Linked DNA regions of Arabidopsis thaliana. The protein of the gene in region 2 interacts with the protein of the main gene of each other region in a pairwise test. Each region holds a gene or a part of one and is shown on either strand. Other genes may lie near its edges. The genes, in order: AGL101 and AT4G13620.

Region 1 (7,761 bases), on a different chromosome or scaffold from region 2:
AAAAGACTGGGATGCTTTGGTATGGTTCAAATGTTCAACACCAAAGCATGTATTCCACATGTGAATCACAAACCTTGACATGTTATCTACAAGATCCAAACTTGCTTCCTGGGGACTGCAGGTTCCTCTTGATTGATGCCTATGTTCTGGCTCGGTGGAGACAAGAGACCATATTTTCTTGCAGTGCCTTTTTACCCAGACTTTTTGGGATTCGATTATGTCTAGACTGAGGTTGGCGTCCACGATTTTTGACAGTTGGCTTGTTTTGCTGGAATGGACAAATGTTAGAAACAAATCATCACCACAAACCCTGAGACTGCTTCTAATCCACACTTTGGTCTATCATATTTGGAGACGGAGAAATAACGTCTTCCATAATTAACCTTACTACAATCCCGCTGCATGCTATCTTCAAGGAGATTGATCGACAAATCATCAACTCCAATACTGCTAGAAGGAAACTGAAAAAGTTCAGGAATCTAGTGGCTTTATGGCTTTACTAATGGATCCAAATTTATCTTTTACCCAATATACTTATTTGGTATGTACTTGTAGAACTAACAGTGTTCTCTCAGAGGTACTAGACCAATCTACTCTCAAATTGAGTCAACACTTGTAGACTTTTCCACTCTCTTAGATGTGCTCCCATGCTATTCTAAACCAAAATCACTCTAACTACTTTAAGTGATTGTTTTGTATATTTATCTTGGTTTTGAACCAACCACAATGTCTCTTCTCCTTTTTCCATTGGAAATTCTGTCTAAATTCTACGATGACAAACTATTACATTCTAGCTTCTTGATTCCAAACCTATAAGCCTAAACCAACCAGCATCATTTTCTCTTGTTCAGCCTAAAAAGAAAGTTTAGACACATTACCTTACTTGATGGAGGAGGTTGATTTTCAGTCCTTGATCCCTCAAATTTCTTCAGAAAGTTTCCTCCGACATGCTTAGTCTTCTTCGTTGTCTCCGAGAACTTTGAAAAAAGGTGGATCCGGTGGAAGTAGTAGTGGATCCGACGGAGGAAAGGGAGAGCGTGGCGTCGACAGCTATGAAGAAGATTAAGAAGGATGGAGATGAAGAAGTTAACCACGTCGTCGTTGAGAAATAAAAGCAAAACTAAAACTATTTATAGATTATAAGATGAAATTAAGGGTGAAATAGAGGTTGCAAGGCAACCCTAAATACCCTTATTGATGTCATTTTTTCGGGAGGATCTTTTCTCTCCCTCTTCTCTCTCTAATACCTTTCAGAGAGAAAATAGGTTCTCGACCTGATTTTGGGGGCTAGAGTTTTTATGGAGACTTATGTCACAATGTCGTTGGGCTCTGCGTCTGGCATCACTTGCGTATAAGCGGTGGAAGCTGTTTTTTCCGACATCGGTGGCTCTGTTTACCACTGTTGGCTGACACTTCCAGTACTGATTGGCTTCTTCTGCAACGGTGGCTGGTTATGTCTCCATCGATTCAGCCTCTGGCGATTCAGATGGCTAGTACTGGCTTTTGTCCGGATTTGTTTTTAGTCTTTCATTCTCTCGTTTCTCTTTAGCTTCAGTTATTTTGTGTTTGGACCGATGCTTTGGATTTGATTGAAGTTTTGTTCGTAGGTTTGAATGAAAGCAAGCCCCAAATAGCAAAATTTCCTTAACGATTGAAAACTTTTTGATTAAAGAAGAAGATGAAGAAGATTTACAGATTTGTATCAAGTGGAGTCATATTTGCAACAAAAGTCAATTGGAATTTCGCCTTGGTTTGTTTGGGCGAAGAAGATGAATAAGCTTTCCGGCGATTTCTGCTTAGAATGAAGCTTCCGACATCACAACAACTTTTCGATAATCGGAGACTCCCTCCTCCTCTTCAACTTCCCACATGTCTTCCAACTTGTTTCTCATTTGACACGTGTTTTATATGTTGTATACAAGTTTTTCCTTCAGTTTAGGGTTCTCTTATTTGAGCTTTTGGACTTATGATTTTTTTTACTTTAGTGTTTGTAAAATATTGGCATGTTACATTTGGCTTTGTATTATAATTAAAACACACTTGTAAAAAAAAAAAAAAAACTAATTGATGTTCATTACACTCATATATATATATAATGAATATACTTGCTAGAAACCTAAATACATGGGCTTTAGATGGGCTAGTAGATAGGAAATACATGGGCTTGTCAAGTTAAGGTAGAAGTCATCCACAATGCCACTTGCATTCAAGATTCTCTCACAAGTCTGAGGAAATGTTTTTACGAGGCTTTACGGGTTAACGCTGCTGGTGAAGAAAAGCAGAGTGATTACTAGGAAACAGAGCTTGAGGTTTGTTTCTGAAAGCGAGAATCCGGGTGCGATTCAAATTTATAGCCCTTAGCCAATTGCTTCATGTAGGCTTTTCTTGACAGCGAAGTTACCTCATCGACTTTAGCTTTTCTTCCTTCGGTTAGATCGTAGTGAGCATAGTCGAAATCCATGGCGGAACCTGTCCAAATTTTCCTTGGAAGCTCTCCGAGGAAGAAAGTGTTCTTGAAGTGGACACCAAGCTTTCATACATGTATCCATTATTATTACTAAACACGAAGAAAACAAAACGGATCTAACTGAATATACTCTGAAGATTATTAGAAGAAATTAGACAGAAACTAATCAAATGAAGCCTGCAGAGAAGAGAAGAGAAGAAAGCGTTAAAAGACTAATCAAATAAATTCAAGCAGAGAGTGAGAGAGCGGAGAGTATTGTTTCGTCGCTTGTGATTTGAGAGGAGGAGGAGTGATGGAGAAGGTTTACCAATGAGAGAACAGACCATGTTCAAGAAAGCCTTGGAGCTTTCAACTCTGTGCAACATCGAAGTCTGTGTCATATATTATGGTCGTGACGGAGAACTCTTCAAGACATGGCCGGAGGATGAATCCAAGGTTCGAGACATGGCAGAGAGGTTTACCAAACTAAACGAGAGAGAGCGACGGAAGAAAAGAACCAATCTTTCTCTGTTTCTACGTAAGAAGATCCTCGACGACAATAAGCTCTCAGGGAAAGTCTTAGAGATGAAGGATTCGTTAGAAAGGGGTCTACGGGTGCTACAAGATAAGCTTCTGTTACTACAACCCGAGAATCAGACCAAGTCCCTGACTCGTTCTGTTTCTAGTTTAGATTATGTGTTCGTTTAATTGTCTGATTAAGAGTTTCTGTTGAATTGTATGTTTTCCTAACTATGAATGCTATTTTCTCAATTCTATTTTTGTCTATGAGTCTTAAATTTGAGTTTGAATATACATTAGACATTGAATGTTAGATGTCCATAATTGATGCAGGTAAGACAACTAATTGAGTAATTGAGCAAGATATTCTGTGAAATTTTCGGTTCAATTTGTGAATGAACTCAATGGAGGAAAGCTTATAGAAGAGGATATGATAATCATATTACCTGACACTTTGATATGTCAGACGCTCTTGTAGCAGCTTCCGTCAAAAGTTGTTGTTAATACTTAATACTAATGTTTTGTCCAAGATGTGGAAAAAAAACTGACTTTGTTCAGTTGTTGGATTTAGATGCCAGTGAGTTCCCAGATTACAATGCCTTAGTGAGTTTTCTTGATAGGTCTTTAGTGTATCCGGAGGACTGAGAGTGAACAGTCTTGTGTCACGCGGTGGATAGATTCTGTGGTTAATCGTAAACTTAAGGATCTTGATGTTAATTAGTGTCATGTGGAGCGTTATTGTTTTAAAGGTGATCCCCTTATAAGTCTTTATATATGTTAGACATTGTTGTACTTAAGACTGCAACAGGTTTTAATGTGTGATATCTAGTCAGTTTCTGAAATTTTTGTCAAGTTCATGCTTATAGAACAAATTGTATATGCCAATTATGAAGCTATACAGTAGCTTAATTATTCCAGAAGGCTAGTGATAATGTTAAGGTTTTAAGTGTACACTTCTCACTCATTATTCATTATTGTTGAATTTAAGGCACAGGGTTTTTGATTGATGCCCATATGCTCACGTATCTGAATTTCGAAGATGATATTATAGAGAGTAAAATCATAAGCATACAAGTTCTTTAGCCAAGTTTAATGTAGTTGCCTTAATCTGGTATTGTTTTGCTCTTGTTGGCTTACTGATGCAAACTTTGATCCGTAAATCTTCACCGGATTCTCGAGAGTTAATTAGCCCTTGGCATACTGCAGTCTGCAGAGGTCTATGTCTTAATTACCAAATTCATAGTTATATATAAAATGTTGTTTTCATTATATTTTAGATTCTTATTGAGAGTACCTCTACCAAAACATGAAAACAGAACTACTAGCGGAATTTTGCAACTTTACATGTCTTCAAGTGACGTTTTGTCTATCCTACCTTGAAATGCTACACAGACTTCTTGAGAGCTTTCAGAATCTAAAATAACTCGTCATAGTGGTGGTGACTTGCACAAACCCCTAGAGTTTAACATAAGAAACATGTTGTTTTTCTTTCTTCTATACTTTGTGTGTGTGTGTTTTCTATAACATGATTTTGTATATGACCACAGAAACTAGTATATATGGTTGTTTTTTTTGAACTCACTTCCATCGTTCTACTTCTTCGCCGTAAAAAGGTTTGGTTTTAACTATCACATGAAACTTACATTGCCATTAAACTAAAAGCTTTATATCACTCCAAATGTACTTATGGTTCACTTATTCACAAGCAAAATGAAAGGTATTAACTAGACATTTGAGAGTTCTTAGACAAAACAAATTAAACCATAAATGCAGATCTTTGTATATGAGCTTCATTTCTCTCATACCTCCTTCTCTGTTGTTATCTTTGGACACCCTAGGATTGTGCCTATAAGAAAGCACCAAATTCCAAACATAAGAGTTGTTTACATTTTTAAAAATTTCAGCGGTTTAATCACCGAAACAGATTTTCGATTGCTTCTGGGTGCTGTGTGCGAAAACGAAAGATCAAAGAGATATTTCACAAATTTCGGTATCAATTACGGACCTATATTCAAAAGTTTGTTCACGTAATTTATTCTAATGTTTGCTAACTAATTCGTTTTAAGAGTCAGAACATTACCTCTCTAGTGAGTTGTTTTGTGTCTTTTCTGTCTACGATTGTTTCGGTCAAAAGGGTTCATGAACCACTCTGGTTTATAGGAAACGAGTATGTATCCAAACATCAAACCAAAGGCAATACCAGGTCCGAATCCTATTGCAGCTGCTATCCAACTAATCAGATCTTCGTCTTCTTCCTCTGTTTCCGGCGTTTCAAACTGTTGATGTGATGCTGGCGTGTGAATATCTCTGCAAACTTCTTCAAGAGAAGAGCCGAAAAGTCCCAAGTTATCTTCAAAGGCAGAGCAATTTTGCGTTAGAAATTGCTGGCCTCCTGGTACTAGGCCTGCAAGCTGGTTATGAGAGAAGTTCATATACGCAAGGAACGAAAGGTCCCCTAGCTCTTGTGGAATCTCTCCTGTAAGCTTGTTCTTAGAAACGTCCAATGACTCGAGAGCTGTCAGGTTCCCCATAGATGAAGGCATGTGGCCACTGAAAGCATTGTTTGACAAGCTGAGCACGAGAAGCTCTTTCAATAGACCAATGGACTTTGGAATCTCTCCTTCAAATCTGTTTCCGGAAAAGTCGACTGCTGTGTAGATTGTGAGGATACGTACCAGCTCCATCGCTACACCTTTATTCATCAAAACCATTGAATCTTGGTAGTAAAGGCCTGATCCCATGTACTTTTCGTTAGACTGGTCTTCGTTTTTTCCAAGTGATGACATAGCACTCCACTTCACAAAGTACTCTGTTGGCAAAGTTCCATTGAAGCGATTATGTGATATATCGATGATGCGCAACTCAGGGAATGTGGCTTCATGTATTGGTCCATGGAATGCATTGGAGCGTAATACAAGAACTTGTAGCTTCGGTAGAGAACTCAACCAGAAGGGAAACGTGTCGTTGATTCTGTTGCTTTCCACGTTCAAAACTTCAAGAGTAGAGAAAAAACTCAAAGATCTTGGTAGCTTTCCCACTAGCTGGTTATGGCCGACATCAAGAGACCTCAGTATTTCAAATATTTGCTTTGGAAGACCTCCGCTAAGATGATTCTGACGAAGGTTTAGAACTGAAAGAGTACTCTTGAGATGTCCCATGCAACGAGGGATTGAACCATTAAAGTTGTTGTCAGATAAATCGAGTGTGTTTAGAGAACGCAACCCGCATATGAAAGAAGGAATCTTGCCTATGAAGTTATTGTTGGAGCCAAGCAAGTACAGCAGAGATGGTTCAGGTTTCGATGGTCTTTGGAAACCGATTAAAGTGTTGTTGGAAAGATTCACGTAGTACAAGATTGGTAGCCTCCATAACCAGTCAGGAACTTGACCTTTGATTTTGTTGTTGGAAATGTCTAGAAACCCCAATTCGTGTTGGGTTCTTACGAACTCTGGAAATTCAGTGATACCGCACCCTGACAAGTACAAAGATTGTATCAATTGCGAAGGAGGATCTGAAACTGAACTTTTGTTTGTGGCCGAAACATGGTTGCCTGAGAGATCCAATAAAAGGAGCCTTTTGAAATATGATAAGAAATAGTTCAAGTCGATCCTAGTGGTGGTGTTCAAATGGGATATGTTTAGATCTAGGAGTGACTTGAGATGGGAGAAGATACTAAAGTCAACTGGGCCTTGGGTGTTTAAATGGGAAATGTCAAGTCGGAAAAGTTTGACTAATTTGGAAATGGAACTAGGGATTGGTCCTATGAAGTTGTTGTTGCCAATGTCTAACTCATATAGGTTAGATGGTGAAGATATATTTCCAAACTCAAGAGTGCCTTTGAGTTGGTTACCATTCAAACGAATGTAAGTCAAAGAAGGAATGGTGAAGAGAAAAGAAGGGAACGTTCCGGTGAAGGCGTTGTCACTTGCATCAAAATCCATCAAGTTGGATAGTGAAGTGATATTAGGAGGAAGCGTGCCTGTGAACTTATTGTTGGAGAGTGATAAAAGTGACAACCCTGTCAAGTTCAGTAGGACATTGGGAAAGTTTCCGCTGAGCTTATTGTCATCAACATATAAGCGGGTCAGCTGGTTTAGATTGCCAAAAGAAGATGGGATTTCACCAACGAAATTGTTACTAAAGAGGCCGAGAAAGGTAAGTTGAGAAAGGTTTCCAATAAAAGATGGAATCTGACCCGAAAAATTGTTATTAGAAAGGTCGAGAGTGGTGAGATTAGAAAGATTTCCAATTGAAGATGGAATCTGACCCGAAAATTTGTTACTGAAAAGGCTGAGAGTGGTGAGATGAGAAAGACCTCCGATAGAAGACGGAAACTGACCAAAAAACCGATTATAAGAAAGATCTAGAAAAGTGAGATGAGAAAGATTACAAATTGATGATGGAGCCTGACCCGAAAATTGATTATCAAAAAGGTTGAGATAGGTGAGACGAGAAAGGTTTCCGATTGAATTCAGAATCTGACCCGAAAAATGATTAGAAGAAAGGTCGAGATAGGTGAGATGAGAAAGATTTTCAATTGATGACGTGATTTGACCTTTAAAATCATTAAATGAAAGGTCTAGAGTGGTTAGGAAATGAAGGTTTCGAATACTGCTGTTGGAATGAAACCGGCCATGGAGAGAGCTGCAGCTTAGGTCTAGCTCGATCACTTCCCCGGACTTGGCATTGCACGTGACTCCCTCCCAATTACAACAGTCGCTGTTATTCCCCCATGAGTCCGTCTTCCGAGGAGATTCAATGCCATAAATCTTACAATGATCAGGAGAAGGCTTCCC
Region 2 (8,498 bases):
ACAAGGGAAGTACCTGCAATCAATTCTAGAGAAAGCTTGCAAGGCTATAGAGGAGCAAGCTGTTGCATTTGCTGGGTTAGAGGCAGCTAGAGAAGAGCTTTCAGAGCTAGCCATAAAGGCCTCCATCACCAATGGGTGCCAAGGAACAACAAGCACCTTCGACACAACCAAAATGATGATTCCATCCTTATCCGAGCTTGCAGTAGCAATAGAGCACAAGAACAACTGTTCAGCAGAGAGCTCTCTGACTTCCAGCACTGTAGGAAGTCCGGTATCAGCTGCGTTGATGAAGAAGAGACAACGAGGAGTGTTTGGAAATGGAGATAGTGTGGTTGTTGGTCATGATGCTGGATGGGTTATGCCTAGTAGTAGCATTGGATGAAGTTAGCAAGAGAGAGAGAGAGAGCGAGACCAGATTTTAGCTTATTTAATTTTGCTATGTTGTATTTAACTCTAAACTCTGTCATCAAACTTGTCTTAGCGTCTATGTATATATTTGTTGAATCTGTAGCCTCTCTTTTAGTTTGTGTATTTGCTTCAACTTTTTCTAAGCTTGCCTTCTTTTTTCTTTTTTGGACAAACCTAAATATAGAATTTATGTAATTGTATAACATAAAAAATACTCATTAAATACTCATAACTTATCTCCATGCTATAGATTGGATCTTGTCTACAAATTAGTTGGCACACATTTGCGTAAATGCACAAATTTGATTACGTGTGTAAAATAAAATGTCAAAGAAAAAAAAAAAAATCTCAAGAGGAAGAGAGTGATGGGGTCGGCGATAAAATGACGGCGTATCTGCTCACTCGTACGGTGATTTGCAACTGAAGTTTTGAAAACTAAAAAAGAAGTTTTGATTTTTGAACAAAGAGAGAAAATAAAAACGGCAGAGGAAGAGCCGTTTACGTTGTGCTTGCTTCCCCAAGATTTCTCAACTTCTTCTTCTTCGTGTGAGTTTCAATTCTCTAATTTACTAAAAATTAATCAAATCGCAAGGAGTTTCTCTGTGTTAACGATTGATTCATCGTTGAGTTTTCTCTGTGGTAACGATTGTGTTTATATATAATTTGATTGATTGATTGATTAACTTACCAAATTAGTCTTAGATTTGGATATATGCTTGTAATTGATTCAAATAACAATTTGATTCTCTAACCAATTTCTCAAACTTTGAGTAATTTCTGTAGATTATTGTATACTTGCAGGTATAAAATGCGTTGCCAGGAGGTAAAATCATGGACATTTAAAGGTTTAGTGGCTGCGTTTATCGATCTTTCCGTTGCGTTTTCGCTACTTTGCGCATCGTTTATCGTTTATGTAACATCGAAGTTCCTCGGTTTATTTGGTTTAGACCTACCATGTCCTTGTGATGGTCTATACAGTGAGTGTTTTCAAGAGAGTTTAAGGAATCTTCCGGTTAAAAAGATCTCTTCTGTTCAAAGATCTGTTAAAAATAGAACACCTTTTGATTCAATTCTGTATAATGGTGGAAAGAAGAGAAAATGTGAGCGTAGACGTGTTCAGTTGGAAGATGAGGTATCTAGTACTACTCCTTCTGTTGGAAAGTTTGAGAATAAGGCTTCAGGGTTCGATCTTTTAACTGCGCAAAGTTTGAAAAAAGGAAGCTTTAAAGTTAAGAGTAAGCGGCTTAGCTTCCATAGGTCGCCGTATGGTTTCAAGAACCATTACCAAAGTTGTTTAGGCCTTAAGAGCTTTGAGGGATCATATGATGAAAATGATCCTCTTCTTGTGAACTCCAATGGTAAGTTTTTTTGTTGTCTTTATTCAATTATATTGGATAGTGAATGTTGATTTTGATGCAAGTTGTAACATTGTAGATAGTGGAAAAGCATTGGAGGATGTGTCGTTGCGGAAAAGTGTTTCACTAAGTTCTGTTGGGTGTGGAGTGGGAGAGGGTGCATGCAGTTCCCCTGGTATGGTACAGAGGACGGTTGAGATGTCAGAACAAGTGCTTGGGGAAGAACGAGCTGCACGTGCTTCGTTAGCTCTTGAACTTGAGAAAGAGAGAAATGCTGCTGCATCTGCTGCAGATGAGGCTTTAGGTATGATATTACGGTTGCAAGAAGAAAAGGCGTCGATAGAGATGGAAGCTAGGCAATATCAGCGGATGATAGAAGAAAAGTCTGCTTTTGATGCGGAAGAGATGAGTATTCTTAAAGAAATTTTGCTTAGGAGGGAGAGGGAGAAACATTTTCTGGAGAAGGAAGTTGATACCTACAGGCAAATGTTTCTTGAGACTGAGCAACCTCACAATACTCCAGATTCTAAACCAGCTCAAATCGAAAGATTGCAGACGCCGCAACAGATTACTGAACCATGGGATGACATGGAGACTGTGAATGTCTCTTCTGGATTTGAGATCTTCACTAATCAGATGGACAATACTGAGTGTGATCAGTCAAGAAGTGAGCCATTTGATGCCCTGAGTGATATAGAACTGAAAGAAAGAGAGGAAGGTGAAACTTTATATGCAGAACTAGTATCAAGAACTAGCGACATTGCTGTTTCTAAGAAGCTTTGTGAGGACCCTCACGACATTGATTGTCATGTACATGACATCCATGTAGTGACTGATGAAGATAACAAGGGGCAACTGAATGTTCCTTCTGACCATGCCACTCAGGATCTGAAACTGGACAGATCACAAAGTGTTTCAGATACAAGTTATGCATTTCCACAAGGGAAAAGTAACATGTCTACCAATATGCGAAGAAATTCAATGTCAGCTATTGACTATGAAAGACTGAAAATAGAGAGTGAAGTTGGGTTGCTGAGAGGTCGGTTAAGAGCTGTACAAAAGGGAAGAGAGAAGATCAGTTTTTCTTCCAAAGATCAGAGCAAATCGCAGGTACAGCGTTGTGGAGATAAAACAAGCCGGTTTTGGGAGGCTAGAAGATCTGGACATCTTGACTCTTCTAGCCCTTCATCCACAATGGTGAGTTTCATCGTTGTGTGCTTTGATATGAGGGTTGAAAAATTGCTAAGAGTGCTCTCTTTGTTTCACAGTTCTTGGTAGTTAAATCTTCCATGGTTTTTTGCTTACCAAGTGGCTGAATCTTGTATGGTTTCAAATGGTGTTTTTGCAGGTAAAGGCTATGTCTATGCCACTGGACCTGCATAGTGCTTGAACTGCAAGGTATGTACTTACTCGAAATAACACGACACGATTATACGCCTAGTGAAAACATGAGCAAGTGTAGTTTTGTAACAATCTCTGCCAAAACTCTAATGTTGGTTATTGCCGGGAGAGTATTGTACTTTGTACTCTAAACGGCGTCGTTTCGAAACAAAAATTGACGCTTTTGTGGTCGGTAAAAAGTTTAAGTTTCTTCTCTTTCCAAATAAGTGATACTTGTCCTCTTTCTATTTCTGTGCCAAAACTTTAGATTTTTCACTTTTGTTTGCATATTCGGAAATACAATTGAAGCTAAAAATGACATAATTATTTCTAAAGTTATATAATCAACTTTTTATTTGGTTGTAGAAACTCATATTGTAGTTGTTGACAAAAGAAAAGATAATCTAAATTCATATTTGCCCTTTAACGCTTCTCTGCCCTATTACTATTCATATTCTCTATTGACCTTTGAGCTTTAGTATAGAATGTAGGAAATATTCTAACATTGGACTTTTAAAGTTGGAGTTGGTGCAACAGAATTATAATATTTTCTCATTAGAAAACAAACACTTTTCTATTTTATGGTTACTAGTAACCGCAAAGAAAAGAACAATTAATTAGCAGACAAAAAAAGGAGAACCACTTGATTATGTGGTCGTAAGAAGAATTACAATGTGTTCAACCCCAAATGCAAACCAATCTTGGCATCATAATATGAATTTCTTTCTTTGGTGGAAACTTTTGATATAAAAAAGGGTAGAAGTAAGTAAAATAAGTTTGACAAATATTAATTTGAAGTCAAGAAGAATGAGGAAATGAGAGAGCATCCCAAATGAGATCCATATCCAAAGAAGGCATCCTACTCAATTGTACACCATCTCCTTCCATCACTTCCTTATGGCTTTTCTGTTTCTTCATCATCACGTCTTCTCCTGACTCCATCTTCATGTGATGATTCTTTTGCTCCGGTGTTCCCACTTTTGGAGGAGGAGGAGAAGGAGAGTTACTTACTTGGGAAGATGAGATCTGTTGAATCTTGGACTCCAAAAGTGAGGCGATCATGCATCGCAAAGAACCGGACTTGAGCTGGTGTTTAAGATCAGGAAAGTTGAGGTGTGCGAATTCGCCACGAAGGATATAAGCTGCTGTATCGTAAGCCATTGCTGCTTGCTCAGCGGTTTCAAAAGTGCCGAGCCAAACACGGGTTCTGTTCCTTGGAAGCCTAATCTCTGCGACCCATTTGCCCCAGTGTCTTTGTCTCACTCCTCTATACAGTTTTGTTGGGGTCGTCGTCTGAACAACCTTTCTTGTTTTTGACTTCATGGGTTGAGTCTTGGTGGTACTTAGCCAATAGTTTCCAAAACCTTTCGAGGGATAGTTGGTTAGAGTTTTATTGATCTCTACCCATTCGTTTCTGTTTTGGTCTGATTGATAAAAGGAGTTTGGGATGTATTTATGGTAAGGGCTCATGTTGCTTTCGGATTGAGAAAGTTCTAGTAGCTTTGGTTCTTTAAGGAACAAAGTAAGGTTTGGAGGTTTAGAAGGATGATGATCAGGATGTTGAGACTGAGGAAAAGATTCTAGAAAGTTCCAAGGAACAGAAGCTACCGGAGATGGATGAATAGAAGATGTGAGCTCATGATCATGAGGCGACACAAAGTAGCTCGGAGTCGAAGAAGCAGGAAGAAGAGGAGATTTCATACCTTCCAAAAATATTGGAACACCGAGAAGTTGTGGCGGCGTCGAAGAACTCAAGAACCCGTAGATTCCAGAAGACAAGAGCTTGTCGTGCATGAAGCTAGTTTCTATTTTAGGAAACTGATCTTCCATGTTCCTTTTTTTGTTTGTTTTTTGAGTGTTTGTCCAGAGAATGAAGCCTGTTCTTAATTTTGACAAAATAGGTGGAGAATAAATGTTTATATATACGAGAATTAAGGAGTGTTGTGTGTGTATTGGTGTGATCATGTGGAGATAATATTAGAAAATTTAAGGAACCTAACTTTATTGTCCGAAAAAAACATTATCATCTGACTCAGATCTACGCTCTGCCAAGCTTAATTTGTTCATATGTAAACTAGAGAATTAAAGAGTCTCACAAACACTTTTGGTTAAACAATATTATTGTTAATATTTTGTATTTTTTTCTTTCATAAACAATAATTTGACCTTTATTTTTTCTTATCTTGCGACTTGTTCGTGGCCTCCATTTTACGTTCGCTTTTTCTTATAACTTATCAATCCAAACGTGACAGCTTAGCCCTAACTCATTTAGGTGTTATATATAGCCATATATTGTTTTTTTTTTGGTATAGGGTTTTATATTTAAATTTTACGAATGATGTTGTTGTTGGATACCAACGTTGTTTTCATTTGGTCACTTTAAATATTTAAAAGTTCTTCTAGTTTTTTCATATTGTATAAATACGAAATTTGCTTTTCAATTTGATGGTTGTACTAATATTACATTATTGTTATATCTTGTTAATAAGAGATATATATTCAATATATATGTATATACAGTACACGAAAAATAAAAAGGATGTGGTTTAATGTTCAATATCTTGTTAATTAAACTTAGAACATTAAATCTGTAGTATATTCAAAGTCATAGCAAGAAAAAGAAGTACCAATTTTTTTTATATTTTTTTTATATGTAAATTTGGTTTCCCTTACTAAGATATATATATTTCTTGTAAGAACCTTAATCTTTAAGCATTCTTTAAGCTTTTTTTTTTCAATAAACAAACGATTCTAACTGTGTTTAATTTATTATTCTCGTCTGTTTAGTTATCTTTAGAGTTTTTAAGGCGAAACCTAGGAATATGACTTTGGACCATACAGTATAGGACTTTTCTTTGCTAGATTCCATCTCAAAAAACATAAATTTTCACTATTATATTATAGTAATATATATAGATGAATACACAAATGTTTAATGTATATTTAGTGATCCGCTGTGAAATGCAAATTACAAAAAATATATCTATATATATATATATGTACGTCTGAATACATACTGAATAGTAATTATTAAACTTCTTAATTACAGTTGTACGGGACTAATTATTGGAGCGATGTGATACCAAGAAAACATTATTGAAACGATATTTCATGATAACATTTATCTAATTGGAGAATAAAATTTAATTTGTAAACCACGTATAGTTTAGCACAGATAATCACCACAAATGCTTATAATTAGTGAGCCCATAATTATTAATATTATCATCCAAATACAATGATTAGCTTCAAGTTTTGGCCTCTAATTGAATCCAACTAATGCGGAAGTCATGGGTTGTCTTCTTTTCCTCTCTAGAACATCAGTTTATGTCTGCTTCTTTATTTTACAATATTGTAATAACTTGCTGATGTGGTCTCTTAACTTTTTAAATTAATCGGATTCACCCATAAATTATTCTGTTCGTTCATGTTAGTCACTGTTACAATGGATACAATTCCTTGCAAGAACACTTTTTCCGACGCATATACTCATCTCTTGCTTCATCTTTAGTTACTCCAATTTTTTATATTGTCAATTTAGATTTTGAGACTAAATTTAAGTAACTAATCAAGATATAAGTTTCTTTTTTTAATATAATATAGTTCATTAAACATGTTTAACAATGAATCAAACAGGTAAGATAAGGGTCGAATTGGAAGCTTCGTATTCTAATTTGAGATGATGCACATTTTGTCCTTTGAGATGACTGTTGGGTCGTTTTACGAAAAGAATTATTATTTGATTTATGGAAACAAAATGTTAACGACAAAATAAAATTTATAAAAAGGCTTAAGAGGAAAAAAAAAAGCAGTTGACCAAAAAAATCAGAGGAAAAAAGTATTTCTTTCTTATTTTTATTTTTAACCTATTCCAGTTTCATGTAAATTAATTTGATCCAATTTGATCTCTAACATATTTTAATAGTAAATGTATGTCTTAGTATGGGCTTTAATCACTGATGGTCACCGTGAAGACATTTTTAACCATGTATACCAGACATCTAATGAAAAAAGGCTACAATTATATTAGAACTTTTCATAAAAAAATTGCTTTGGTCACTGTCTCATAATTTAAAAACTAATACTCAATATAAATTAGCAAGTTGGCGCTATTATACGACATTCCTAAATACATCATCTCAAAAACAAATATTTAAGGAGGTTTTGTTTATTAAATAATATCTCTATTTTCTATCATTTATAGATAGGACATAAAAAACATAATATAAAATGATGACAAGTGACAACATTAAAAAAAAACAAAAAAAAAAACAAGTGACAACATATGACTTTATCTGGTTTACTAATTCATTTTTCCAATTTCGTTATTTGTTTTCATAAAAATAGCATTCTCGATCTCAAAACATTTCACATTTTACTTTCGTACGTTAATATAAAATAGAATAGACATATAAAAAATGTTAGCAATTGTCTATGATTTTGCTTTATTGAAGAAAATACAGGTTCTACCCTTTTAATGTTATATTCCAATAATTATTTTATTTTATACATAAATAATTAAAAAAATTTGTTTACTGCTACATGTTCTATTAGATTTCATGATTTTTTTTCGAAATATATACCACTATTTTGCCGTTATATGTTTCAATAAAAAGTTAATGGCTGAGCTTCCGAGTGAGATAAGCGTGTCTATAAACAATTGTTTAAGCTTAAAACTCAAAATCTACGGATAGAGCATTTTTTTTTTTTTTTTTTGTCAAAGACCAAAAGAAAAACAAATGTTGATAGAGAATAGCAACAGACGGCCTAGTACATATCATTGTATTAATCTGAAATAAATTTCATATACATACGATTTGTGCTTCTATTAAATATTAAAACATTTGTTAGATTTATACTATAATTAAAGCTGAAAAATAAGAAATTGTGTTGATGGAGGAGCCATATTCCTCTATTTCAATTGCTGAATTTTTAATTTTGTCGTTATTGTTTTCTTTCTATTGGTCACAAATGTTTTTATTCACTATCTAAATTATTTACGCAAGTACTTTGAAATATATTTCTTACTCTAGTAATCTTGCTAGAAGAGTTTTCGTATATCTAGCTTTTTGTTCTCATTGAACGATATGAATCTAGCTAGCTTGCAGTACAAAGGCTTTAAGTGCAAGTTGAATAACTAAGGTATAGAATCTCAAACATACATCATGTGCATTCTTTTACACCAAAAAAAAAAAAATTACACTAAAAACCATACATCATGTGCCTTTCCATTTTTGATTTTTTTTATCGATCCTAATCATTCGACATTTCGACTATTTTAAAGTTGATATTATATCAAAAAACTTATGAGTTGTAGTGTTGCATAGTAAAGATAGTAGATAAGTAAATGCTTCC

What was found.
Region 1: the proteins of AT4G13620 (region 2) and AGL101 interact in a two-hybrid assay, tested with the Arabidopsis thaliana proteins (one large-scale study listed by BioGRID).

The regions. Positions count from the first base shown.
Region 1 is NC_003076.8:9,517,485-9,525,245, forward strand, and holds AGL101 (AGAMOUS-like 101), read left to right. Parts: upstream 1-2,791; coding exon 2,792-3,154; downstream 3,155-7,761. Other genes in the region: RLP53 (receptor like protein 53), read right to left, coding at 5,050-7,761; AT5G27065 (uncharacterized protein), read left to right, coding at 6,845-7,120, 7,183-7,218.
Region 2 is NC_003075.7:7,928,748-7,937,245, reverse strand, and holds AT4G13620 (Integrase-type DNA-binding superfamily protein), read right to left. Parts: upstream 5,116-8,498; 5' UTR 5,109-5,115; coding exon 3,942-5,108; 3' UTR 3,667-3,941; downstream 1-3,666. Other genes in the region: UNE16 (Homeodomain-like superfamily protein), read left to right, coding at 1-382; AT4G13630 (zein-binding protein (Protein of unknown function, DUF593)), read left to right, coding at 1,217-1,766, 1,843-2,960, 3,112-3,153.